2 linked regions of the Arabidopsis thaliana genome follow. The protein of the gene in region 1 interacts with the protein of each later gene in a pairwise test. Each region holds a gene or a part of one and is shown on either strand. Other genes may lie near its edges.

The links.
Region 2: the proteins of DYT1 (region 1) and AT2G31210 interact in a two-hybrid assay, tested with the Arabidopsis thaliana proteins (one study listed by BioGRID).

The regions. Positions count from the first base shown.
Region 1 is NC_003075.7:11,344,758-11,354,742, reverse strand, and holds DYT1 (basic helix-loop-helix (bHLH) DNA-binding superfamily protein), read right to left. Parts: upstream 4,822-9,985; coding exon 4,642-4,821; intron 4,568-4,641; coding exon 4,370-4,567; intron 4,295-4,369; coding exon 4,049-4,294; downstream 1-4,048. Other genes in the region: B70 (basic helix-loop-helix (bHLH) DNA-binding superfamily protein), read right to left, coding at 115-261, 371-427, 525-590, 726-791, 927-1,025, 1,114-1,333, 1,429-1,679; AT4G21323 (Subtilase family protein), read right to left, coding at 9,111-9,685, 9,768-9,954. UniProt on the Arabidopsis thaliana protein: Transcription factor. Involved in the control of tapetum development. Required for male fertility and pollen differentiation, especially during callose deposition.
Region 2 is NC_003071.7:13,291,662-13,302,451, forward strand, and holds AT2G31210 (basic helix-loop-helix (bHLH) DNA-binding superfamily protein), read left to right. Parts: upstream 1-4,481; 5' UTR 4,482-4,720; intron 4,721-4,964; 5' UTR 4,965-4,993; coding exon 4,994-5,719; intron 5,720-5,814; coding exon 5,815-6,273; intron 6,274-6,376; coding exon 6,377-6,478; 3' UTR 6,479-6,616; downstream 6,617-10,790. Other genes in the region: RUS2 (root UVB sensitive protein (Protein of unknown function, DUF647)), read right to left, coding at 1-222, 313-435, 532-711, 875-972, 1,055-1,148, 1,239-1,298, 1,420-1,504, 1,606-1,694 and 2 more; ADF6 (actin depolymerizing factor 6), read left to right, coding at 2,510-2,533, 2,782-3,047, 3,137-3,287; AT2G31215 (basic helix-loop-helix (bHLH) DNA-binding superfamily protein), read left to right, coding at 8,146-8,298, 8,405-8,641.

The DNA of each region.
Region 1 (9,985 bases):
CATCACATTTTATACACAAATTAACACCAGACTTTACAGTTCTTAGAACAAAACTAATCTATGAGTTTTCATGTGTAATGTACTAATGTTACATTTTTGATTCAGTATAAGAGTCTAATTCCACAAACTAGATGTGTCCAAATGCTGCGGAGGAGTGGAGAAAGTACTTGAGATCGGCATCAGACAAAGACCGCGGCTTCGAAGATCTTGTCTTGGACTACAATTTTGATTATGAGTATTATTGCTTGATTTGTCTGACCACTAGAAATTGAAAGAATCTTATTAATGATCATAAGCAAAAGAACAAAAATCAAACTACTTAATTGATTTTAGATTATAGAGTTGTTTAACCGTTAACTAAGTTAAGTACCTGCTTCTGTTCACCAGATCCTATAGAGTTCAGGTGTGGACTAGTAGAGACCTTTTCCTATTTAAATGATTATAAAAAGAATAAATATAACAGTTAACTAAAACCAACAATTAATTAGTAGTAGTATTTCATATTTGAGAGATTATCAACTTACAGTGATTTGTTCTTGTAGAAACTTGATGTAATCTATAGCATCATGGAGGACAGAAGCAGTGTCTGTCTGTAAAAATCATCACAAAATAATAATAAATAAATTTGAAAACAGAAGTAGCTAAAAAAATTTCGTAATTATGTATGGATAATATATAGTAGAGATATCAATATAACAGATCATGAATTCATGATGAACACAAACCTTGCCAAAGGGTGAAACTAACTGTTGAAGCGCGGTAATTCGATCTCCGAGTTTCTCTTTACGAACCTTATCAATCAAAATAGTTTTTGGAAAAATATCAGCAATAGTTTGTGCATGGGTATGTGTTTCTTAGCATAACTAACTTTTTTTAGTGATAAATGACAATCCTTGAAAACTGTAGTAAGATCATTTGTTACTAACTTTGAAGCTCGGAAAATGAGATGGTGTCTCAAGTCTTGGCCTTTTTAATGGCTGTGATGACTCAATATCTTCGAGTTCTCCACTTTTCTCACTTGCTCTCTAAAAATAATTGGTCACAATGTCAAAATCTACAGAAATATTGTAAAATATCTCTATTAAAAGAAACTAATTAAATAGATTTGCCCACCTTGCATGTAGTCAGACTCTTGCAAGCTTGCATGTCTTCCTTGGGTTTTTGGTGATCAAATACTGATATCATTCTTGATTCGTTCGGGAAAACGTCATCAAAGAAGTGAAAGCTTTCGAATAGTTCTGGTTTGGGACAGTTAGGAACCAATAATTGCTCACTAGAATCAAACAATCCTTCTAGAAAACTATTTATCTGATTGTATCGTTCTTCTTCATGGCTGGTAAAAAAGAGAAAAGAAAAAGAATGTCAGGATTCAGGAACAAAGATCATGATTTTACGTTATACGTCACGTAAGATGATAAATGGACTTACATGTTAGATGGACTCGAAACGTAGATTTGTGATGTGGTATCAAGATTTGCATTGCCTAAGAATGTGGAAGTACTAAGGTAGTTCTCGTTGTAAGTTTTGGCATCAAGGGTATCAATGTTTTGCCATTCAATCTCACCAAAATCGACAACAATCTCCGCGGAACGTGGCAGAGAACAGCCTGAGAACATGCCGTTGGAGGAGCTCCACCATGTTCCGGTACAAACTCCCGTAGTGTCGAATTCTTCTGTCATGTTTTGTTGGTTACGTAGACAATGGTTTAGTTTGTGTAGACTTATTTCTTCGTAAGTGTCAGAGTTTGCATGAGACAGTAATGATGTTGATGATGGGGATTGTATTTATATGTAGCGATGAGGTTTAAGTCAACTAACAAAGTTATAATATTTGTTAAAAAAAAGTTTTGTACAAGAGTTTTATATGTTATTGGTACTTCCCTAATTAATCTATTAATTATTTAGATAATGTATGTTTATCAGAGTAGTCGATAGGAAGTTAGGTCAAGCAAATTAAGTAATTAAAAGATGACAAATTTTTTTTACCAACGTACGTACAATGTAAAGTTTAGTTTTGATTTTGGTTAATCAAATAAAAACTTTGATGTACATGTGAGTTTGTGAGTTGTGACCCTATCTTCTCAAACATTGTAAAACAGAGTTAATTTCTTACTATCATCATAATTACTACTTTTCTTACTCTTTGATATGGGATGGTAATACTAAAATGTTTGATATATGTTGAAGTATATATATTTATTTATTTATTTTTATGTGTTGAACGCAGTTGAAGTATTAACTTGTCAAGGGGAAAAAAGTAATAAAATTTTAGTTAAACAAATAATGTGAATATATTTTTAATTAAGTCATCGTACGGATATGGTATTTATTTTACTTGCAAATTGTATATTTGTATAGCAATGCATATTTATTAACTACTGTTTTGGGGGTTTACTGATTCAAATAATTAAAAACAAAAATGACGTCACAGTTATATATGTCAATATAGAAAGAATATGTTTGTCGTCCAAAAAATAATCTCATTTTTGGGATGGTCGATGAATACGTACAAGGAAAAGAAAGTCAGCGTTACCAAATCCATCGCAAAAGGGTAGTTGTTGGCTGGCCTCGTTTTGATCTATACGACTCCGGACGTCTTTTGTTTGTACACAGTTACGTGCGCATATCTGACCTACGTGTCGACTCTTTAAAAAAAAATGTAAAAACTTCAAACAAATATGGATTTACATTGTAAACAAATTTTTTTTGAAATATATGGATTTAGATCAATCTTGCTCTTTGGAGAAAATAGCTTATTGGTTTTGCTTCAAGCCTCTCCAAATGATATCATAACTTATAGGAATTAGGATTACACTTAATTGAGTTTCATTGTGCTTTATATATGGATATGACAACAAAAAGAGAGTTATCGAAATAAGTTTTTTTTCCCTAATTGAACAGAAAATATAAATTAATACAACTATTTGAAAAGAAGTAGTTAATAAGACGTATACCATATATGCATTCACCAAAGAATGAAGACTTTCTTTAATTATAATTTTTGTTTTGTAATGGACATGATTAAAATATATATTTTTACTTTCTGAAATTTATTAAAATGAATTGTTGATATTCGGATATAATCACTAACAAACAACTGTATAAATGTATAAATGGATTAAGTCAGACCGTCCCCTCCAATCCATTTGGGTTATTTTAGGTTTGATCTTTAAATTTAGAAAGATTCCCAAAATATGTGCTCATGTCATATGGTTTGACTCAGCAAATTATTTTAATATTTTTAGTCAATAGATATATTAAATATTTGTAGACTTCGAGTGACTTAGGTTACAGTACACCAACTTCAATAAGAAGAATTTAACCAAGTAAATTATTAATTAATCAACCTTCACTGGTTTTTCTGTTTATATACAATTTAACTTGTTTTCATACGATTTGAGTTCAATAGAATTTTAAGACCAACATTCTTAAGACTATATAGAGATTGTTGATTTGATTCATTTGACATGAGGAAACGGTCCATCGTTTTATTTCATTGAGAGTGGAAACTATAAATTATTTTATATTGTTAATCAAATATGTCGTGGAGTAGGGAAAGTCAGAGATGATAAAGGTATATTATTATTTTTATAAAAAAATAGTTAATAGGTTAGGAAAATGTCTTTTGATTTTGGCTCTATTGAATAGTTTTGATATTTGAATAAAAAAACTTAGGTTTCTACCAACTTCCAACCTTACACAAATGAACATCACTATTCACTACTCACCATTTGGATGGTTGAAATTAAATGGGCTCAACTTGAGAATGGCCCATTTAAGAGCTAATTCATTCTAAGCCCATTTTAAAAAGAAACCCCCATTGCTCGGATCCTAGAGATAATATCTAGTGTTTTCTTTCTTTGACCTCAAACAGAGGATCATGAACATTTTGCAGCAACATATATGAAGACAAGAAGAAGCTCATTGGCTTGTAACACAAACTCTTTTTCATCTGAATCATATCATATTTAAAATGGAACAACAATGTAATAAAAACCAATGGAAATGTTATTAGATCAAGAAATTTCCAAGATGTATATAATTAATACTTATGGATTGCTTCTCATAACTTCCAAAAGAAAATCTTTTGTCTGTTCAACATCACAGAGTTCCTGTGTCTGAACAGAGGCACTAATAAGAATTGCTCCATTTGAAGTTGTTAGACTAATATCGATAATCTCGAATCCGAGAAATCTCATAACCTCCATGAATTTAGTAAAGATCCCATCTCTCTTCTCTGTTATGATCTTTAACCAAAACTTCCTCTCCCCAATCTTACACAATTGCACATTCTCCTGTCCCAAAAATAAAAAATCATCAAGAAAGATAAAGAAAATGAATCAAAAATCGATTAGAGAAATTTTAAAAACCTCGATTCCGAGTTTCTTCATCTCTTCGTTAAGATCACTAGTTTCAACTTCAGGTTTTATCATTGGATCCGTTTGTTCTTCATCAATCTCAGGAGGAGCTTCTTCCATTTCATGAAATGTCTCTAAGAGATTCTTAACATTGTTTTGAAGCTCTCCTATGTAAGTAATCGCATCTTCAACAATACTTGCTTTAGTCATCTGAAAACGAAACAAAAACAACAACAATCATCACCAAAATACCCATAAAATAATAATCGAGATTTGGGACTTACGTTGGTGACAATGGGGACATGAGATCGCAGAGCCATAAGCCGACAATGAAGCTTCTCTCTTCTACGTCTCTCTGCTTCAAGATTTGGAGATTTGAAGTTTTCATCTTCTTCCTTCTCTTTTGTTACTTGTTTCCTACGGCTCATCCTCACTGGTTCTTGAAATCTGCTTCCTCCACCCATTTATTTCTTCTTCTTTGATAATTTTTCAGACAAAAGTGTTTATATTCTTATTTATGTAATGGTGGTAAAAGACATGAGTTATATAGTTGCTTCTCATGTAGATAGAAGTCTGTTAGTGGAGAGAGAATAAAAGAGAGAATCTTAGTCTCAGTTTGTTATTAAGTGAATGTGATTTCAGTTAGAGTCAAATACAGAGACTAAAATAACAATTTTTGTTTTCATTATAGAGAGAAAAAACAATTTATGACGAATTGAGGAATCTTCTTATTCAAGGGTTCAAAACACGAATCCTTACAGACAAAGGAATGGTAACATTTCGAGTCCCATCAGTCCAAGTGAAACTACCAAAGAAAAAACCAGTGTTACTCTTATGACTCGACGAAACCCTAACTTTAAACCCAAGTTTCTTCGTGTTCGAACAGAACACTAGAGTCTCTGGTTCAACAACAATCTCCACACCTCGCGGAGGCTCGACCACGGCTCTGTAAACTGAGTCCACAGGTCCAACGTTAGTCACCGTTCTTGTGACGGTCACTTCTTCTTCAAGGTCGGGAATCGTGATGGCGGGATAGTTAAGATCGAGGATAGACGGTAATGGAGACGAGCATTTTGTGGGTTTTCCCGTGATTATAGTGATTGATGTATCGTTGTAACCAGTGGCGCAGAAATAGTGAATGTAATCGTCGATGTTCATGTCATAAACTAGTCCTGGATCTTTGGCTCTTTCCGCGTTCACGAGTCCTGCACCGTAGTCAAATGGATCAGCCAGTTTCCGTGGTTCTCCCTCCGCAAAGATTGGTTCCCCGGATGGATCAGTCTTCCATGCTATAATAACAAGAGAAGAAACTCTGGTAAGATTAAATTAACGAATGGTGGTTTTCTGGTGAGGAGAAGAAAGTGGTTTTCCATTTTCAAGAACCTGTAGTCATAATAGCAGATTTTAGCGCAGCAGGAGACCAGTCAGGGTGTAAAGCTTTGAGTAGTACGACGAGCCCCGCAACAACGGGAGTGGCATAGGATGTCCCTGTGCCTAGAAAATAACCGCCGAAAGAATCGGGGTAGGCTTGAGATGTAGCTCCTAAAATCGTCACACCAGGGGCTGCTATATCAGGCTGCATCATTTATAAACCCAAAGAAATTTCCATCATTAACAGGTGATCCTTAAATTGGAAACGACAGACAAGATTTTGAAACACTGTTTAGGGAAAGAACCTTGAGAATGGCAGGAGAGAGTCCATTAGGCCCTCTAGATGAGAATCCGCAAACTTGAGTCGCAATAGGACGTCCTACGAGCGTTTTACCAGTACTAATTTTAATCGTGGGAGAACTGAAGAGACCGCAAGCCATAAGAAGATGATCAGTTTTACATACTCTATGTGACTCGGAAGGATGATCAATCACAAAAAATATAAAATAAAGGATAGTATACCTTGACGAGCGGATGTATCGTAGAATCTTAGCTCCGACTTCATAGTCTACGTAGATGAATGGTTGATTATAGACAATATCACTTTGATAATCACCACTTCGTGCCACGATCAGCCCCGCCGCCTTGTTGATAGTTGTAGTCGCCAATGCGCTTGCCATTTCCCAATCTTCTTTCACAAACGTCAGGACAACTTTTCCCAGCATGCTAGAGGTGTCGGTTTTATAGTGTTCAATGTAAACTAAACCAGCAGATACTTCCTTACCTGTATATTGAGCTTGACCCTGAAACAGTTTTTAAGGGAAAAGAGTAAGTTTCCAAGACTAGTGAAACCCGATGGTGAAAAGACCTGAAAAAACATTTCACATACAATTATGGTAATGTTATTTCCAAAAGTCATGTCTGCATAAAAGGTACGGTCTATGTTAGTTGCAGCGACTGTGAGCATCCATGGGAATACATTAGCCACAGTGTAAGCTTCGGGGCCTGTATTAGAGGCACCAGCTATAACCGGAATGCCCTTCATCACCGCATGGAATGATCCAAGCTCCAAATCTCCCGTAATAGAGTCAATTGGGCGAAAAGGAGCCGCAGAGGCGAGAGAAATCGACAATACATCAACGCCATCGTTTATGGCCTCATCAAATGCCTTGACCATAGTCGCAGTGGATGACATCAAAAGTGCTCTATCCCAGACAATTTTGTACATAGCTATACGAGCCTTTGGAGCAGCGCCTCTCATGACACCAGGTGCAAGGCCACCATATGACACGTTAGGCACAAATGAAGAGGCTGCAATTGAAGAGACCATCGTCCCATGTCCTCTATAACCTCTAGGGGACATAAAGTCCTCCTCGCTGATTCCAGAATTGTTCTCATCAAAGCCATCAGTGAAGTACTTTGCTCCTACTAACTTCTTGTTGCAATGCTTTGCTGGGTCAAAATCCTCTCCGGCTACACACTTCCCTTTCCAATGTTTCGGTATTGGTTCAAGCCCTTCGTCATTATAAGCCGGAGACTCTGGCCATACTCCTGAGTCAAGAAAACCAATGACAAGATCACTTCCCATGTTGCTCTCATGGAGAACTCCTGAGGGAAAACTCGGCGAAAGACCCAAATAATCATAAATCCTCGTGCTCTGCAACTCAACTTTTCGATTTGGTGCGACACTGAAAACATCAGGACGGTCTGGATATAAACATGAAACAAACCCATAGAAAAACCAGAAAATGTGTCAGAAGATGTGTATAACAAGGCTTCACAAGGGCTCTTAATTTACTTGGTTGATATACTAAAAAACAAACCTGAAAGTTGCTTAGCTTGTGAGTCAGTAAGCCTGGCTGCAAACCCGGAAAATCCATGGTGGTAGTTGTAGACGATGGACTCTCGAGCAGCTTCCGCGCTTCATCATCAATACAAAATCATTAGCTCGAAAAACATGAGACATCATCATCAGAAAAGCGAAATCAAGAACTCGGTTTTTGTCATATACCTTTCGAAAACCGATTCCAACATCCTCTGGTGTGATTCAGAGACCAACTCAGAATCATCATGTCGCCTCACGCCTAAATGCACTACATATATCTACCACAATCAGAAACAAAACAAAACACGTTTCATCTATCAGTCACAATTTTGAGCAAACATAACACAACAAGGTCGAAACATAAGAACAAAGACAGAAACCATTTAAACAGACCTTTCTCTCCTCATTGCTGCTTTCTTGAGCAAACACACAAAACCCAACATTTACAATGAACAAGAATCCAATAAAGAGACCAGCTCTGGACCTTCCCTTCACAATTCCCAATATTCTTTGGGAAGAATTGTTTTTTGTTTTCCTCCTTGGTTTAAGCCTTAAAGTTTGGATTTTATGGTGTTGAAAAAACTTACAGAACAACAAATAGACATGAACAGCTTAGCAGGTAGTTAGTTGCTCACAATAGACAATAATCACAAACAACAATTAAAATAATCCAACGAAAAAAAACAAATGTCCAAATAGATTTAAACGAGACAAAATCCATTTTTGACAGAAGACAGTTTTATTATCAGTTTTACAACATGTCCTTCTTCCTGCTAATTTTGGGGCTGTTACTGAAAACAGCTCTTAACCAAAAATTTCATCTCCCGTTACTTTATTTACTTGCATTTGTAAAATCTATTTATGGGATATAAGATTACAATGACATACCGATAGATTAGAAGAACAAAAAAAGATCAATTTTTTTCTTCTAAGAAATCAAATTTGAATGAGTAGAAGGAGCTAGCAACAACAAAATTAGGGTTTAATTTCGAACTATTAACAAGATCTCAAATTAGATACCTCGAAATTTAGGTTACGTTCGCAATTATTTCAATAACAAAAAGGAAAATAGAGAAAAAAGATAGAGAGGAAATAGAGAAGCTTAGGTTAATGATGATCGACGACGAAGACGAATTAGCAACATTTGCAGTAATCTCTTTCGTGTCTTTTCTGGAATTCGATGCTTCTTCATCAATTCGCAGTAACCTTCTTCAATTTTACCTATTTCATCAATTCGCTGTTTTTATTTAGCCATTTTTATTCTTTTCCATATTCGGCCAAGTTTGGATTCTGTTTACAAATCACGTTTTCAATTAACAAAATTCATTTTAATGCATTAATCATGTGCTACTGTTACACGATTCAAAAGCATGCAGAAATAGTAAAACGGTGAATTACATATTGAACTAAAGTCTATATATCTTGTGAGGGACAATATTAGCAACAATAATTGTTAGAAAAAAATTCATAGCGCGGATCCACTAACTGGAGAGTAAATACATGAATGCCGAGAAAACATGAACTTGTTAATCATCGGGGTTTAAACAAATTACAGATTTACAGGAAAAAATTATCGATGAAACGTGTCCTTAGAGAGATTGGAATTGTGACATTGTGAACTTTATCACTCCAAGTCAAACTCCCAAAGTAAAACGCAGTGTTCACTCTATGTGAGCCTGGAGACACAGTTACCGTAAAAGCAAGCTTGTTTCTTGTTTTGTTAAACTTCAACTTCTTTGGCGAAACCACGACATTGAATCCGAATGGAGCCTCTATCACAGGCTTATAAACCGATTTGACACGTCCAACGTTGGTCACAGTTCGGGTCACATTGACTGTTCCCTTGAGGTCTGGGATTGTAATGGACGGTACATTGAGGTCAAGAATCGATGAACTTGAGCTCGGGCACTTGTTATTGACGTTTCCGGTTAGAGCAGAAACCTTCTTGTCTGTGTAAAGAGTTTGAGAACATAAGTAATGTGTGTAATCATTGATGTCCATGTCGTATACAAGACCGGGATCTGTGGCTTTCTCCAGATTCACAAGACCTCCTCCGTAATCGAATGCATCGGCTACCTTATAGTTCCCTCCATCTACAGTCAGACGCTCGCCGTATGGATCAGTTTTCATTGCTGAAAGACATAGAGTTTTACGTTTTAAATGCAGTGTTCTTATTGAGAAAAGAGTTTTAGAGAGACATAAATTAAACCAAACCTGTTGTGACAAGAGCTGATTTGATTACAGCAGGAGACCAATTAGGATGCGATATCTTGAGGAGTGCTACGATTCCTGCAATAACCGGAGTTGCCATTGATGTTCCTGAGTAAACGAATTCTCTGGTGTCTTCGTCTGTTGGTATTCTAGGTGTTAGCAAGGTCAAACCCGGAGCTGCTATATCCGGCTGCATTACAGAGAAAATACAAACAAGTTAG
Region 2 (10,790 bases), on another chromosome or scaffold:
GGTTGCATCGTGCTCTAAGACCATATCGGTCCATGACTTTCCATGACTCAATAGAAACTTCTCTTCTACAAACACTTGTTTTAGTCTTTGTACCTCAGAAGGCTTCACAGCTTTATGGAGAGCCCTTCCCACTTTTACATTTCCTGCGTCTTGGATTGGTCTCTCGGGGAACATTAGGTCTTCTTGGAATCTTAAATCAGGAGGGCTTGGGACTTTACCAGTCTGAGAAGATACAACAACACCTCTTATGTAATTAAAAGAAATCAACAAGATGGTTTACAGAAAAATTGAACAAAAGATGATGCTAATTACCTTGAGAAAATTAGCCACAATCAAAGCGGTTCGCTGTGGATTCAGTGTGTTGATTGGTACCCCTCGCATTTGTTCTACAACGCTATACACATGTACAACCGAAAGAATTGACCCAACCACCAACTGCAGATATCAGCCTTTTCATAATAGAGTTGCAATCCAAACAAATAGAAACTGCATTTTGAAATAGAGAGTAACGATGTAGCAGAATGACATTACCTTTCCCTCCATTGATGAACATATTGTGGACGCAAGTTGAATACCAGCACCTATCCCGGCAACATTGAAAAGAGTAGAGATAGCTTCTCCTTTTGCAAAAATGTCACTAAGATTTCCTTCTTTGGCAAAAGATGAATATATTGGTAATCTTGTTGCCCTTGCTGCAACTGTAGCCATTCCCTATTTAAAACAAACAATGCCAGAAAAGTATGAAAAACAGGAAACCAGTGAAGCTGATTGATGTATAAAAGGATGGTCTTTAGAAAGCTAATATATCTCATAGGTCTCCTATTGAAGCTGCTGAGGAAAGCAGGCACAGATGTTCTAAGAAAGATATCTATACCTTAGCAAAATTCCCCAGACCAGCCATTTCAAGAAACAGATGCGGGCATAATGGAGAAACGAGTTCCAGACCAGTACCAAGATCGTAAAGCACGTCAGCTGAAAATTATGAATCAATACTTTTTATAGTTAACGCTATAAAGACATCAGCAGAAACATGTAGCTACAGAATGGTGCATACCCAGAATCCTCCACCGTTTAGGCTCAGAGTCCATTCTTGCACCCAAATTGCTACATATTAGCTTTCCGACATGTTGCATCCCATCCTTCAATATCTACAGAACCAATAGAGTAAACAAAACTTTCACTTACGGACAGGGACTGAACAAGCAAACGAACAAACAAACTGAAGTGGTTTAACATACCCAGCTAACAACAGTTGCTTGTGCCGGTGTAGGCCGCAAGCCTGCAGCAAACAACAGTGACTGCAAAGGAATGATACAAAAAAAAGTTATGTGTCCATGTGAAAACCTCCATTACAACAGCTCAAGTAAACAAATGCAATTTTCCCAAAATCAATAATCAAAGCTGAATCATGAAGAAGACCTGAGTCGATAACACTGATAATGCTGCACTAGAGAAATGCTGAAGTGCTCGAAACTGTGTGTACCTAAGATATCCTTCGTTGACACTATAGAGAAGAAGTAAAGAAAGAAACTTGGTTAAAACACATGCTTTAAGGCTAAAGCCTAGAGACTCTCTAAAAACAAAAGTTCCAAACTTTGAGTTCACCTGTATGGATAACCAGAAGGAAAGAACTTGTTAAGGAAAGATTCAACCATCTTCTGAGGAACAGGTCTTGCATCATCAACAACTTTCATCTAAAACGTGATAATTCACATAATGATTCTACAAGTTGAGAGCAATGGCATAAGAGAGACAAGAACGAGGGAGAGGGAGATTTACAGAGAGGTGGCCGTCGGATTGGAACTGATAACGGTGAGAGACAGAATCAGAGGTTTCGAACCAGTAAACCGGAAAGTCTTCAGGGCTCTTCAACATTACTGGGTCTTCCTTCTTTATCAACTTCACCTTCTCCTGCTTCGTTCCCCAAGTTACAAAGTCATTCACTATAGTTTGGAGAATCATAAAATGAGATTAAAAATACAATAGAATAAAGATTGTGAAATCCTACAAGAAACTGCATCTCTGAGACACGATGGCACAGTCAGGTTCCGAACGTTAAGAGTCGCCGGAGTTGGAGTGAACCACCACAACAGTAATCGCCTAGAGCCGTCTAAAAACAAAATCAAAGAGATTATCTTAACAACGACGTCGTTTCTTCGTTCCTTTTCTACTTCTGAGGCCCAAATGATTTTTGTTACTATTCACTAATGGGCTTAATTAAGGCCCAATATTGATAGATACGCGGCGACTAGTTAAGGGGCAACAAATATGGCCCACTTAAAAAGAAACACGACTTTTCTTATCGCGTTGTTCTAACGCCACCGACCGAACACTTCTTTTTCTTCTGCAATAAACCAAAAAAAGTTAAAAATTCAAAAACTTAATTACTAAGCAAAAGTGTGCACGAAGAACAAAGCGACGCATCCGATTTTATTTGTTTGATAAGTTCGTGTCGTCTTCGTCTCTCTAACCCAATTCTGTGGTGTCTGAAGAAAGCAGAATCAAATCCATGTCTTTCAGAGGACTTAGCAGGGTAAAATTACAAAAAAAAACTTTTCTCTTCTTGCTTAAAATCGATGTACTCTTGTCTATGTCGCAAGCATCTTCAATGTTAAAAATTTGATTTTTATGAAGTCGATGTTAAAAAAAACTAAACCCATCTCCATTTTTACTCTTATTGAGGGTTTAAGATCACTAGATGAAGTCAATTCGATGAATTTTGGATTAAAAATCGAATCTTTTGGTATGGTTTTGATATGTGTTTTGGTTTTATATCTGTAGCCAAATGCAATATCTGGAATGGGTGTTGCAGATGAGAGCAAAACCACATTTCTAGAGCTTCAAAGGAAAAAAACTCATCGCTATGTGGTCTTCAAGATTGATGAATCCAAAAAAGAAGTTGTTGTTGAGAAAACTGGAAATCCTACAGAGAGCTACGATGATTTCTTAGCTTCACTTCCTGATAATGACTGCAGATACGCTGTTTATGACTTTGATTTCGTTACTTCTGAGAATTGTCAAAAGAGCAAAATCTTCTTCTTTGCTTGGTTAGTTTGATTTTTACCATTAGTAAGTCTATAAGGGTTTTGATGTGTTGAGACTAAAACATTTTGATTTGGGACTACTGATGTTGTAGGTCTCCTTCGACCTCTGGAATTCGAGCCAAGGTGCTTTACTCGACTTCTAAAGACCAGTTAAGTAGGGAGCTTCAAGGGATTCACTATGAGATTCAAGCTACTGATCCTACTGAGGTTGATCTTGAAGTGTTACGCGAACGAGCGAACTGAGAGCAAGCAAGATTGCTATGTCTATTCAAAACTTATGGTAATGTAATGAATAATTCGTATTCTCTGTGGATTGATTTGTGTAAACACAGTTTCATGTTCTATGTCAAACTGTATAACCTCTGGTGTTTCAGATTGCACAACCTAAAGCTTAGGTAAACTGAATATGGTTTAAGATCGTAAAAGGTTGATATATTAGTAATGTTAAGAGGGAGAAGAAACTTCTCTTTAGTAGATAACGAGAATGTTGATGAGCATGATGAGAGAGTTCTTAAACTAGTCTAGCAAATTCTGTATAAGCTCTTGTTGTAGCCATCTTGAATTCGAGTCTAATCCTTGCGAACAATATAGAAAGTGGTAGTGTGTAAAGTTTCCCTCATCATTTGTGGTTTCTTTTTCTCACTTTCTTCGGTGTAGTAAAATTTAAGTTGTATGTATAATAGTTCTATCATATACCTGCTTTCTAAAACAAAACAAAAAAAACCTCTTTCTTGTTTCCGCATATCCCCTTCCGATTCCATTGAGAGCAAAACCATTTTATGAGGTTGTATACTTAACCTACCATTCCTAATTCCTAATTGCTTAACTGTTACCAAACTGTGATGTCAAAAAGAAAAATGTTACCAAACTGGAGTCAAAATGACATAAATACCCTTGACCATTTGAGAAAAAATGTAAGGAATTAGGAGGTTGCAAGTGGGGTCCATTGCCGTTGTGGCCAAAAGCGAGATTGCATGACCCAACTGAAATCTCAATTAGGAAGGAGATTGCATTATTTTTATATGTTTATTTATCATATCTCATATTAAGGTCCATTTCCTTCAGTCTATTATCATCATGTATCCACTATTTGTTTGACATTGGGGAACATTTTAGAATAAGAAGTGGAACTGGAAAGTAAAATATATCTATTAGTTCCAACATATTTCATTAGTTTTAATTTTTCTTGCTCCAAACTCTAGTAGTTTATAAATACACGGCTTGAATTACGTTTAAAAGAAAATAACTAAACTTTCTAATAATTCTCCAAATATTAGAACATGTCTTAGTAAAGAATTAAAGCTTTGTTTGTGTCAGAAATTAAAGGTTGGAACCATTTTGTTCTCATTCATAAAAGGGAGAAGAAAAAAAAGAAAAGAAAAATTGTTTCCTCTGTCTTGAAGTATTTAGTAGAGAGCTGTCCAAAACAATACAAACACGTCCAAAAAACCCTCTCCTATGGGAACAAGAAAGACCCAAAAGACACAAACACACACCCAAACTCCATCAAACAGAAATAAAGCAAACCAAAAAAGCTTCTCTCTTTTTTCCTACATTTGATTTAAGCTCTAAATGTTGAAATGATCTTTGATTTGACATTGTGAAGCTGAAATATAGCTGGTGGTAACCTTCAAAGACGACAAAGAAGGAAAAAGATCATCATCTTCTAACTTTTGGTAATTAGATAATTTCATTCTCTAAACAAAGTCTGATTTTTGAATCAATACTAAAAAAGTGATAGAAGAGAAGCTATCAAAACACAAAAACAGAGGATTTTTCTTTTCCAATCTAAAAGAAAGGTGCTTAAGGGAATTAGTTTGAGATTAGGTTTTAACTGAGTTTATACAAACTTTCTTTATTTAATGAAATTAACTTAGATTGGCTTTTGTCTTAAAGATTAATTATGGTTGTGAAAATTAGTTTTGGTTGCAGAAAAAAATCAGTTGAAAATGTATGAGGAAAGTTCATGTTTTGATCCTAATTCGATGGTGGACAACAACGGCGGCTTCTGTGCGGCGGAAACAACTTTTACGGTAAGCCACCAGTTTCAACCACCGCTTGGAAGCACAACAAACAGCTTTGATGACGATCTTAAGCTCCCAACAATGGATGAGTTCTCTGTTTTCCCTTCTGTTATCTCTCTCCCAAACTCAGAAACTCAGAACCAAAACATCAGCAACAACAACCATTTGATCAACCAAATGATTCAAGAATCGAATTGGGGTGTTTCTGAAGACAACTCTAATTTCTTCATGAACACTTCACATCCAAACACAACAACAACTCCAATCCCTGATCTTCTCAGCCTCTTGCATTTGCCTAGATGCTCTATGTCATTACCAAGCTCTGATATAATGGCGGGTTCTTGCTTCACGTATGACCCGCTCTTTCACTTAAACCTTCCTCCACAACCTCCATTGATCCCTTCTAATGACTACTCAGGGTACTTGCTTGGTATTGATACCAATACTACTACTCAAAGAGATGAGTCTAATGTTGGAGATGAAAATAACAATGCTCAGTTTGATAGCGGAATCATCGAGTTTAGCAAAGAGATTAGGCGTAAAGGAAGAGGGAAGCGAAAGAACAAACCTTTTACTACAGAACGTGAGCGAAGATGTCACTTGAATGAGCGGTACGAGGCCTTGAAATTGCTCATTCCTAGCCCGAGTAAGGTTAGTTATTTACTTATGACAACAATCTTTCTTGGTTTAGCTTCATTCATTATCTCCAATGGCACTTTGCTTAATTCATATTATATGTTATTTAGGGAGATAGAGCATCAATTCTTCAAGATGGAATCGATTACATCAACGAGTTACGCAGAAGAGTAAGTGAGCTTAAGTATTTGGTAGAGAGGAAGAGATGTGGTGGGAGACACAAGAACAATGAAGTAGACGACAACAATAACAACAAAAACTTGGATGATCATGGTAATGAAGATGATGATGATGATGATGAAAACATGGAGAAGAAGCCGGAGAGCGATGTAATAGACCAATGTTCAAGCAACAACTCGCTGAGATGTTCATGGCTGCAGAGGAAATCAAAAGTAACAGAAGTTGATGTTAGGATTGTTGATGATGAAGTAACAATCAAAGTTGTTCAGAAGAAGAAGATCAATTGTTTGTTACTTGTCTCCAAAGTACTTGATCAGCTTCAGCTTGATCTTCACCATGTTGCCGGAGGACAGATTGGTGAGCATTACAGTTTCTTGTTCAACACCAAGGTTAGTGATCAATGAATATATATATATATATAACAAATCTTGGTTTATGGATTTTGATATATACTGGATTTAGTTTTGGTAATAATGATTGAATAAATTGCAGATATATGAAGGATCAACAATATATGCAAGTGCAATAGCAAACAGAGTGATTGAAGTTGTGGATAAACACTACATGGCTTCTCTTCCCAACAGTAACTATTAATTGTTAGGCTAACTTCATCTATTTTCTAACGTTTTTTAATCCATGTAATTTTTACTCATTTGCAAAACTAAATAAAAACTCATTTTGGATGATTTGGATGTTTAGTTTCTAACAAGATATGTATGATTTGGATCCCTCAAATGAGCCAAAGAGCCTACAAATTAGAAGACCTAAAGGAATGAACATATTACTCAACATCATAAGTTCATCATTTCTATGTTAGATTTGTTATCTTTTCGTTAAGCTCCGAGTTTTTTCTATATTCTCCAAATATCTGGAGGCAACTTTTAGACGATTATCTTTGGAATGTCCCTCTTTCTAACTGCAATCCGAACTAGGCATATCTCTTTTTCAATGTTCTTGTATATGTTCTCTTTAAAAAATTAAAAACCAGTGGCAGAGGCAATTGTAAGGGAATGGGGTCAACTGACCCAACAAAAATAAATAATTAAAAAAAAAAAGAAATTGTAAGATTGACCCCACTGAAAATTTTATATTGACCCCTATAAATTTGACTTATGTTTTACTTCAAAAAAAACCCTAAAACCCCACATTTTTTCTAGAAACCTTATAAAATTTGGGTTTACAGATTAAGATTAAACACATTCGCTTACTAAATACATTTTCATGTTTTTCTTTTATTAAAAATTTGACCCAATAAAAATTCGTCCTACCTCGGCCAGTGAAAGAAGCCATTAAACCAAGAAACACTTGGTATTTCTTTGTTAAAATTGATACAACCATCGTTATGGTTCCAAAGTTTGTATGACTAGGTAGGTTGGGAACAATAGCAACTACTTCTGTACTTGTGTACGAGAGAAGTAGGTGACAAGAAAATTTTCAGTTTCTATAAAGTTACGAGAGTATCCATAAATCATCACGTTACAAAAAAAAATAAAAAATAAAAAATAATTAAATATGAAATTATATTTTCACATTTTTGGATGAGGGACCTACCTCTTCATCTTCTTTCATACTGCTATAAACATATATGGCATGATCTAACCGCAACATAAAACTTATAATATTTTTCTAGCGTTTGTTGATATTATTAAGAGAGAGACAAATAGATATGTTTCTCAATTTATTTTCTTCAAAACAGTTAACGTCGAAATTTGGACATTCTGAATCATCGCTTCTACGAGTGTGATGCACATAGATAAATGAGGTTAAAACGAAGTGATATCATGAATGATTATTGGGGATGAAGTAGTAATTGTCAATTTATTAACAAATAATGAAAACTTTATATGTAGGAAACTATCTACCCAAATCCCTCATCTTCGATCTGTTTGTTGTTTGTGTAATCCAGTCGAAGAGTTATTCAATTGTAAAGATAATATAGGGTATAATTTCATAATTTTTTCAGCAAAAGCACAACTTTATTAAGCTAAAAAATAGACATAAAATATGTTTAACAACATCTATTTAAGACATTACTGTGAAATAGGTTAGAAACATAGTGCTAATTAAGTCAAGTCAACATTTTGTGTCCTAAAAAAATAAAATAATAAATTTGTGTCCTAAGTGAAAAAAAAATAGAAAATTTTAATTCCATCTGCAAATCTCCTTATATTCAATCAAAATACAGAGAGGGAGAGACTTGTTAAAGAAACTTTGTTTCTTCTCTTGAAATTGATAATCTTCTAGAGTATTGAACCATCTTCATGGAACGTTACACAAAAAAAAACGAGAGGTTCAAGGCAGAGGAAGGAAAAGGATCAAAGAAGTCGAGAACTTTCCTTACAGAACGCGAAAGACGAGCTCTCTTCAATGACCGTTTCTTCGACTTAAAGAACCTCATTCCAAATCCCACAAAGGTTAGATATATATTTTTATGTTTAATCTTTCATTCTTTTTCGTCTGTTTAATCTTTCATTCATTCTCTCCAATATCTCTTGATCAATACACATGCTCTATTACTAGGGAGGTGAAGCATCCATTGTTCAAGATGGGATCGTTTACATCAACGAGTTACAAAGACTAGTTAGCGAGCTTAAGTATTTGGTTGAGAAGAAAAAATGCGGTGCAAGGCACAACAACATTGAAGTAGACAATAAAAACACGATTTATGGGACTAGCAAGATAGAGCATCCATTCTCCAAAAACAAAAACACTTTTAACTGTTTGATTCGTACACTTAGATTTGTACACCACTTTTAGTGTACATATATATATAAAAATACACAACGTACACTTTACATTTGTACACTAAAAGTGTTGTACAATCCAAGTGTACGAATCAAATAGTGAAAAGTGACTACTTTGCAAATTATGAATAGTAAAGTGACTACTTTTCCAATTAAGTTTGAAAAAGTGACTAGTTTGCCAACACACCCAACTTTCTTTAGAGCTGAAAATGTCAAGACAATGTTATATAAGAAAGATGAATGCACTTTGATTACGGAGAAAGAAAAGAAGGAATGATTCAAAGAAAAGAAGCAGTGATGAATGATGAAATTCATCCCCAACCCCAAGCATCTACGATGAAGCATCATGCATAATATATAAGAGTGATCAAATTAATCATAGACCACTTTGAATAGACTTGTCTATTGTTAGAGATATTGTGACGTGTGTTTTAGACCGGTTAAGTCGGGTTTGTAGACCGATAATTTTTAGAGAAGTGCAGGCCCTGTTAAACTAATATCAATTTCTATGAAATATCTGTAGTGCAACCGTCAAATAAAATAAAAATGATACGATTCATTACCTAAATGAATCCAACCCAACCCCTTTTCTGAAACTATTGGCTATGTATGGACCGAATCAAGCGGCACTACATTTTTAATATATCAAAAACCAAATCGTTGGTTTGGTCCGGCAATACATTTTAACATTTTCTGAGTAATCAGAGTTTGTACTGTTTAGTTAGGATGGGGACAGTCGCAGTGTACCGTGTACGAGAGAGGTAGGTGACCAGAATTTTTTCAGTTTCTGTCGAATTTCAAGAATAACCCTAATTCTTTTTTTTACTAAATCAAATATAAAGTATATTATTATCCCATTCTTGGATGTGGGACCTACTTCCACTACTTCTCAAACAACCCGCTCTCTTTGCTATAAACAGAAATCGCATGACCCAACCGCTCAACAAGGAAACTTATACAATTAGTTTGATCCAAAATTGTTATTTATTTAGAAAAATTTAATAGAAAAGATTGAAATATAAACATATATGAATGAAATGAATTATTTATATTCAATACAGTCCATGTTATTTTTTTACCAGATTCTCTATTATACATCTCTTCAAGTATCTAAATATTTTTCTTATGGATGAATTTTTATTTTATCATTTTATGTTATCGATTATACACAAAGAAAGGAAGTGTTAAATTAGATTAATTAAGTGAGTTGTCGATATACATTACAGGAAGTGTTTGAGATAGAAACTATTCTATGATGGTTTAGTTGTTGAACACAGTTTACTTATAAAATTAGAAAACCCAGGGGTTTAAGTATTTATACTTCTATTTAACTATGATATACATACATAAGTTTTATCAATGCCATGTACAACGTATAGATGAATCAAACTAGATGATGTGATAAATAATTCCATGATTGTTGATGATAAGGTAGTTAATCATCCATAAATTAAAACTGAACACTTTTTATATACAAAACATATCCATTTAAACCGTGCATTAGTATTTTTGGTTCTTGTATTAAGTCGAAGAGTTTTTTCAATTCGAGTATATAATAAAATACGATTGCATAAACATAACACATATTAAACATGAGATTAATTATAGAAGTAAAACATACATCTAAGACAAGAAAATAGTTTCGCGTTAAAATACTTTTATCAATTACAATTTTGTATTTGGGATATTTTTATCCAAATTTTACTAAAATGAAAGGAAAAGGGTAGAAATGGGAAAGAGCAAACGGGGCTACTTGGTTTGTCGGTGTGAGTTAGTGGAGCCCATATCATATTGGTCAGAGAGAAGATCGTATTTGCTGATAATGACGGAAATACCCCTAAAGTCGTTGAAAAGACCTGAGAGATTCGGCAAGGGACCCATCTGTTGATTCTTCTAACCAACCTTTATGTTTGGCCACAATGATAAATCACATGCTCCAACCAAAACAGCCCCCAAAAAAAACCCAATTTATATTTTCTTAAAAGTGAGCTTATAACGTAAAAGAAATATATACAATGCTAATTTTCTTACAACTGGTTAAGTGTTAAAAGATATGTTTAGGATCATATTGGTATTTGGTAATCAGGTTTCAACATTTGAAATGATTAATCAAAAAATAAGTTGCATAGAAAATGATTTAAAAAATGACTATAAACAAGAAG